2 linked regions of the Rattus norvegicus genome follow. The protein of the gene in region 2 interacts with the protein of the main gene of each other region in a biochemical or structural test. Links are inferred from orthologs where the notes say so. Each region holds a gene or a part of one and is shown on either strand. Other genes may lie near its edges. The genes, in order: Rbsn and Rab5c.

The links.
Region 1: the proteins of Rab5c (region 2) and Rbsn form a complex in vitro, tested with the Homo sapiens proteins (2 studies listed by BioGRID and IntAct, with this or other methods). The link is inferred for Rattus norvegicus from reciprocal best matches to the Homo sapiens genes RAB5C and RBSN.

What each region holds. Positions count from the first base shown.
Region 1 is NC_086022.1:126,259,551-126,263,363, forward strand, and holds part of Rbsn (rabenosyn-5), read right to left. Parts: intron 1,655-3,813; coding exon 1,514-1,654; intron 1-1,513. UniProt on the Homo sapiens protein: Rab4/Rab5 effector protein acting in early endocytic membrane fusion and membrane trafficking of recycling endosomes. Required for endosome fusion either homotypically or with clathrin coated vesicles.
Region 2 is NC_086028.1:86,163,893-86,167,805, forward strand, and holds the start of Rab5c (ras-related protein Rab-5C), read right to left. Parts: upstream 2,558-3,913; 5' UTR 2,451-2,557; intron 1-2,450. UniProt on the Homo sapiens protein: The small GTPases Rab are key regulators of intracellular membrane trafficking, from the formation of transport vesicles to their fusion with membranes.

The sequences.
Region 1 (3,813 bases), on a different chromosome or scaffold from region 2:
GTATATTAATTCAATGGTTTGAGTTTTGTGGGGGGATGGGGGGAAAGTTGTTTAGTATGTTCACAAAATTGAATAACCGAAAGAAATGTCAGACCATTTTTATCAGTTTGAAAGTAGAGAAGAAGCTAGGCATAGTGGTATGCACTTTAATCCCAGCACTCAGGAGGCAGAGGCAGGCAAATCTCTACGTTCTAAGCCAGCCTGATCTATATCATGAGTTCCAGGACAGCCAGGACTACATATAGTGAGACCCCATCTCAAAAAAAGAATAGAGCTGGGAACGAACCTCTTGCACAGCGCTTGCCCGGCCCTCAGGTTCTACTCCCAGCTCTTGCAGTTTAAAAAGGAACTAACGAGGACAAGTTATAACTGTGCGCATGAGGAAAGTAAGCTGTACAGTGCCCTCACTTGTCAGATAACCTGAAAGGAGACAGATCTGTCAGTGGGGTCTACGGCTAGGCTGACACAAGAAAGCCCCAGAATGATGGCCCTGCTGCTGTAGTTTGGCCACTATTTGATCCTCAGAAGGTTCCTAGAGACACACACACTCAAAGGAAGGCACGCATACAAAGCATTTAGCACAGTGCTTAATTAAGAGATCTCAATTCGTTCCCTTCCACTTTCTCTCCTTAGCAGGACTTAAGGCCAGTAAGATGCCTATCCCTGAGGGTTTACTGATTGATGCTTTCTCAGTCAGCTCCTAGAACAATACCTAACCCAGTCAAAGTAGGAGGGTGACCTGTTGAGAAGAAAGGGTTCAGTGGGAGAGGGAGAGGATCAGAGAGGATGACAGATGAGGGTGTAATGACTAATCTTGGCTGTCAACTTTACAGTATCTGAATCAACTAAAATCCAAGCTGCCAAGGACTCCTATGAGGAATTTTCTTAATTAGATTATTTAAAACAAAAAGATCTGTCCTAAATCTGGGCCACATCTTCTGGTGGCAGCCCACATAAAAGGCTATGGAAGAAGGAACTTTGCTTTTTAGTCTGTTTGTCCTCAATCTCAATGGCAAATTCGCCCATTCTGTCGCTGCAGAATCCAAATTCTTCAGGACTGCAGCACAGACTGAAGCCCAGCAGCTCTCTAGGAATCCATCAGTTTGTGACTACAGAGACTAACAACTACAAGATTCTCAGCCTCTCCGTCTTGAGATAGCCAGTTTTGAACTACTAGAAACATATTCTATATTCTATCTGTTCCTTTAGAGAAGCCGGACTAATACAGGGAAAATATAATCAATGTGTGTGTGTGTGTGTGTGTGTGTGTGTGTGTGTGAGAGAGAGAGAGAGAGAGAGAGAGAGAGAGAGAGAGAGAGAGAAAGAGAGAAAGAGAGAAAATAAAATTTTAAAATTGAAAGAGAGAGAGAAATAAAATTTTAAAATTGAAAGAGAGAGAAATAAAATTTTAAAATTGAAAGAGAAATAAAATTTTAAAATTGAAAAAAAAAAAAAAGACCTAAAACAGGGTAGATATCTCATAAGCACTGAATGAATTAATAAATGTTCTTACCAAGCTCTTGAGGTTCCCACATGTAAGGATCAACCCCTCCATAGCTGAATGATTCGTATCCTTGGGTCCCTGGCTCCACACGATCATCTCCTTCTCGTTTCAACAACTTGTTCTTTGCTTTCCTAGCCTTCTGAACAAGATCTTGAAAAAAAATAAAACAAATACCACAAATAAGCCCAAGATTATATAAAAGAAATAAATGCACAAGAATATTCAGATCTCAAGAGAAATACAGCAGTAAGTAAAGACCTTCTTACCAACCCCACAGAAGTCAGGACCAGCAGAATGCTATTCATGTTTCCAACATACAGGCTAAGTACCTGCTTACTGCCAAGTTTAATAGTCCATCTAAACATAAAGAGCCAAATCGGGGTTGGGGATTTAGCTCAGTGGTAGAGCTCTTGCCTAGCAAGCGCAAGGCCCTGGGTTCGGTACCCAGCTCAAAAAAAAAAAAAAAAAAAAAAAAAAAAAAAAAAATTAAGAGCCAAATCAAATTCAATGAGGGAACCAGGATGGTAGATTTTTGTTTGTTTTCAGACAGGGTCTGTCTATGTAGCCCTAACTATCCTGGATGACACTACACTTACCTTGAACTAGCAGACATTCACCTAAACTAAACTAGTTCTCCCACCCAAAACTAAAGGTGTGTACTACCATGCCTAACACAGTCTTCACTTTGTAAACACGACTAAACTATCCTAAACAAAAAGGGCAGTCCGCACTATTTAACCACTTTGGACAATAAAGGGACTGTCTGCTGAGTAGATGTAGTCTTTCCAAAGGAGCCCAGTTAACCCACCCATGCATCTTTGAAAATAAAACAGAAGCTACAGTCAATTTTCAACCATCTTTTCTTCTGGCTACTGTAAAAGGGCTTAAATACTGCTGGACCAGGGTTGGCTCAAACCCACAGACACTTTCAGAAATAGTGAGTTGATCTTGTCTACTTAAAACTGACTCCAAGGGGTTGGGGATTTAGCTCAGTGGTAGAGCGCTTGCCTAGCAAGCATAAGGCCCTAGGTTCGGTCCCCAGCTCCGGGAAAAAACAAAAAAAAACAAAAACAAAAAAAAACAAAAAACTGACTCCAAGAGGCAAGTGAGATAGCTCAATAGATAAAAAAGTACTTGCCACCAAACTTAAAGACCTGTGTTTGACCACCAGCACCCAAATGATAAGAAAGAACTTACTCCAGGAAACTATCCTTTGACCTCCACAGATGTACCATGGCATATGCCCCAACCAACACAAAATAGATGAATAAATGTAATTTTAAAAACTGCCTTCGAAACCTGATACCTGTATGCAATATTTTGGTATTCCATTTTTTTGTTATAAATATGAATGCTATTAAGGCCTACATAAAATATTAAGGTCTAGATAGAATGTTAAGGCCTGTTATCTGTCTAGTGCTGTTACTAACATTATAAGGAAACTTTCTCATATATTGCTTCTGTTACTAGGAAACTTTCTCATGTCCAAGTTGATTATGTATTCTATTATGCTCTGTACCCTTGGAAACCAATCATGATAAAATCAGTAAAACTGCTTTGTATAGTTACCCACAACAAGTTTGGACCTGAACTCCACCCAGCAGCACTTCCTGAACCTGTGTATAAGCTTTTATGGTATTTGCTTTTATAAACTCCCCCTGGGATGGACCCTAACATAAGAGAGACACCTGTACCACTATAAGAAACTATTTGGAAAAGACTTCCATTTTAAGTAGAGGTCAAGTGAACTTTAAGTTCCCAAGACTTCCCTGGGAACTGACATACTACTTGGCAGAAAGAAAAATGTATGTGGGTAACTGACATCCTGGTTAGCAAGTTAAGACATGAATGTTAGACAAGTCCCATCTTGGTTGACAAGTTCAGACAAGGCAAGTCTTCTACCATAGTTGAATCCTCCAACCAATGGGAGCGGGGTAAGTGCACAGCGAAGGCATGGTCTATAAAGAAGTCCCCATCCCTAAATCCTGACTGGTGAAATAACTTGTCACAGATGTTTGTAAATTTCAGGCTTATTAAAAAGCCCTACAGGATCTTGACTTATGGTCACAGTCAGCTGCCAAGTCTGACCTGTGGCCCTGATCCATCAGTCTGGGGTGTGGCATTCATTAAGTCATACCTCTTTGACTGAGCTTGGTGTTTGAGTGGCTTGTGCAGCGATTCCCAAACGCCTGTGAGTATGATGGCACACACCTCTAGTTTCAGCACTCAGAAAAAAAGAGACAAGCAGATCTCTGTAGGTTCAAGAACATACTGATCTAAACAGTGAGTTTAGGCCAGCCAGAGCTACA
Region 2 (3,913 bases):
AAATCAGCAGGGAGTGTCAGAGGGAAATCAGAAGGTGGAGCCTTTCAGTCCTGCCCAGGGGGACCACTCCGCTTGTCACTTTTACTTTCGTTTTCTAGCCGTCATGAGTTAGGTTTTGGAGAAATTATGACACACAGACGTTAGCAAATTCTTAGGCCCTGAAGAGTACAGGCTTGGGATTCTTAACTGTCATGGAGGCCACGGCAGAGGAAGAGGGTGGAATGTTGGGAAAGAGAGGGAGGCAAAAGCAAAGGCGAGAGATGGAAGGCTAAGAGTCTGTAGTCATGTCCTGGTTCACTCTTCCTGCAGGCTCCTTCACTTAACAAGCACAGCAGATAGGAGGGGAGCCTGCTTTTAGAAAAGATAAGGTTACATTTGCACCCAAGCTCCAAACACTGGGTCTGACCACTTCTAACTGTGTGGTCTTAGGGGAGAATCATCTCTAAGGTAGGGGTAAGAATACCACCATCTCCAGGATTCCTGTGAGGAATATGCAGGGGAAGAACCCTGGGGCTTTATATCTCATAAACACTAGCTCTTACACTCCTCCTGGAGTGGACAGGCAGAAAGGCCAACAAGGTGTGAAAAGCAAGAGGGGAGGTGAACAGCAACCTTAGAGGAACAGCAACCTCTCAGCAGTGACCCCTCTATCCCCAGCAGAGCGGCAACAGCTTTCTGCTGGGCCTCTACAATTTCTGAAAGCCAAAAGTGGCTGTAGGACCATGCAGAACTCTAGTGCCTTCTGTGTCACTGAGAGTTTCCGCAGAGGGGTGTTTTAAAGTCAGAGCTGGGAAGAGGATGCTCAGACAACTGGCAGAAACGCACATTAGAAGGTCCATCTGCCTCAGCCAAGACCCCAGGAATCACAATCCACTCCTTGGAAGGTAAGTCTAGCAGAAACCACTTCCTATAAGCAGGCACGGAGTCTCTGAGCCCACAGTGGGAGGTGGGGGGAGGGGATAGGTGTCTCACCTACCTGTTGAGACAGGTAGGAAGGGGTTTCTTGTTATCCAAAAAGAAGTGAAATAAATGCATCACAAAATTAGCCTAAAATGTTATAACTGTCTAGAAGTAGGTCAGAAAGATCTCAGAGCAAAAAATGTTTAGGTTCAGTGTGGTAAGAAGCATCTTAAGTTGACCGGAGACGCCCAAGGACTGAATGGCCTTCTTACTCTTCTCCTGCTGCAAGACAGCAGGGGTCAGCTGTGGCCTCAGAATCAGGCTACTCCTCAGGAAGGCAGTCTCTGACCTGTACTTTGGCCACATAACGAGAACCTTCCAGCTTGGTCAGAGATAGCAGCCATTTCACACACTTAAGTCCCAAGGAAAACACAAGGACCCTGTGACAATACAGTAGGGGAACCAGCACTTTCTGCACATATAAGCAGTTCCTTTACCGACGAAAACTAAACCTGCCACTGTGATGTGGCCTAGCTGCCCTGTAGTAAAGTCCAAGCCAAGAGGGGAGGGGAGAGACTCCAGTGAGGAGTGGACCTGTTGCTCAAGTGTATGGTGTTGTGTGATTCACGGTGCTTAAGAGATGGTCCCTCAGTTTCACGCTACTCATATTTGGTCTATTCTCCTCCCTATAGATAAGCAGACAGCAGTCCCTCTAAGGAAACCACTCACATGCTCTGGAAGGACAGGGCTGAGCCTGAAGCAGGGGGAAGGAGGAGGGGAGACAGAAGATAATGAATGAGCAGATCCTCCCTGATCTGTGTGTCGCTGGGATTGAGCAAAGCTCAGCTAAATTCTTTAGAAGCAGGAAGACGGACACACACAGAGAGAACTTAACACTGGGCCGGGAGCATAAAGTGCAGCACAAGGAGAAGGCTGCCGATTCCTTCTAAGTGGCCCAGAATTCAAACTCTGCTGAGGTCCTAGTAGGCTCGAGAGGAAGTAAGGAACTGTAAAGGCGCAAACACACTTCTGTGCGTGTAGAACATTCTCATTTAGACACCCCCATCCCCACACACCCCAAAGGAAATAGAGATAAAAAAAATTCCTTCAGGACTGCAGGGGACAACTGGTTTTTTTGGTTGGGATTTTTGGTGGTGGTGGTGGGGACACAGGTAAGGAAACCAGGAGAGACAGCACTCTCCGCCACCCCTAAAAGAGAAGGGAGACAGGTTCCTTCACACCTGGTAAAGACTCTTTGATTCTGAAAGCTGAGGGGGTGGGGAGCGGAACTTAGAGTCCCTCTCTCCCACAAGTGGACTGGACAGGCCAGAGGAGAGCCTCAAAAGACTCCCAAGGGCTCCCGAAGTACAGGTTAGCGAAGGAAAGAGGAGCTCCCCCTTTGGCCCGACGCCCTGGTGAACCCCTAAGAGGGGGCTACGGGTCGGGGGTGGGGTCAGTGTCCCCCTAAGCTAAGGTTGGGCAGGAGGAAAGGGTATCCCAGGGAGGCTTCCACACAGGTAAGACACTGGTCCTGGGACAGGCACACTCACCGCGGCTCCGGGGCAGCAGCGTTACTTGGGCCGGGGCTCCCACAGACTCCGCTCCTCTCCCCCCGCCCCGGCGGTGTCCCAGGCTCCGGCCTCCACTTCCGCCTTTCAGCCGCTCCGGATCCGGATCTTCAGCTCTGCCCCGCCTCTCTATAGTCTCAGGTAACTGACAGAAAGGACAGACCAATGGGAGACACTCCGATCCTACCCACAATCAACGCGGGAAAGGAGGAAGAGTGCGCGCGAGGAATGGCGGGACTTGTAGTTCTCAGCACAGGGAGGAGCCGGGGGCTGCCTGGCACTTGGGTTTAGGGTGGAACCGGCTACTGGTGGGGCGGAGCCGGTCTAGGCCTGCTTATCGCGTCACTGCCAGTCCCAGGTGCCCCGAGGGAAGGCATGTGGCTGAGCTTTCCAAGAGGGTAGACCGAGGACTGTTCATGCAGAATTGAGAAAGGAAAAATATGATGCTCATGTAGCCGCGTAGACCAGTCGTGTGCCCTCGGCAACTTAGAGAAGCCAAGGCCCATCCAGGAGGCTGATTATTGAGGACATTCTATTATAGGAAAGGCCAGGTGTGATGGCTTGCTCCGAAGGCAGAGGCTGGCAGATCTCTGTGAGTAATCGCAAGGGTTATGTAGTAAGACCCTGGCTTTAAAAAAAAAAAAAAAAAAAAAAGTGATGAAAACTCTGTAGAATGGGGCCTCTGGGGGCTAGCAAAATGGCTCAACGGGTAAAGGTGCTTGCAGCCAAGCCTGATTGAGTTCCATCCCCAGGACTCACATGGCGTAAGACAGACTCCCACAAGTTGTCTTTTGACATTCACCTGTGTGCCGTGGCATTTAAGAACTCATCCTAGGGCTGGAGAGATGGCTCAGCAGTTAAGAGCACTGATTGCTCTTCCAGAGGTCCTGAGTTCAAATCCCAGCAACCACATGCAACCATCTGTAATGAGACCTGCTCTCCTCTGCTGTGTCTGAAGACAGCTACAGTGTACTTATATATAATAAATAAATCTTAAAAAAAAAAAAACCTCATCCACCCTCCCCCAAATATGTGAAGAAATGCAATTTTTAAATTACATCCAGGAGTTCTCTGGATGATACTAGATGGGATGAAAAGCAGACCTGCTGCTGCCACAGGCAGGCTCTCTCTCTCTCTCTCTCTCTCTCTCTCTCTCTCTCTCTCTCTCTCTCTCTCTCCCTTTCTTCCACATAAGCTCTCACTATGTAGTTCTGATTGGCCTGGAACTCGCTTTGTAGATGGGTTGTATTTTAATACCCAGAGATCCCCCTGCCTCTACTTCTGGAGTGCTGGAATTAAACGTGTGTGTAACCACCACGATGGATTAAGCTTTCTTTCTTTCTTAGGTTCTGCTCCCAAACATACCAGGGCCACCTCCACCCCCAATCAGAATTAGCTCTACTTCAAGGACTGCCTGTGTTCTCTCTACCCATCACTATAGATGA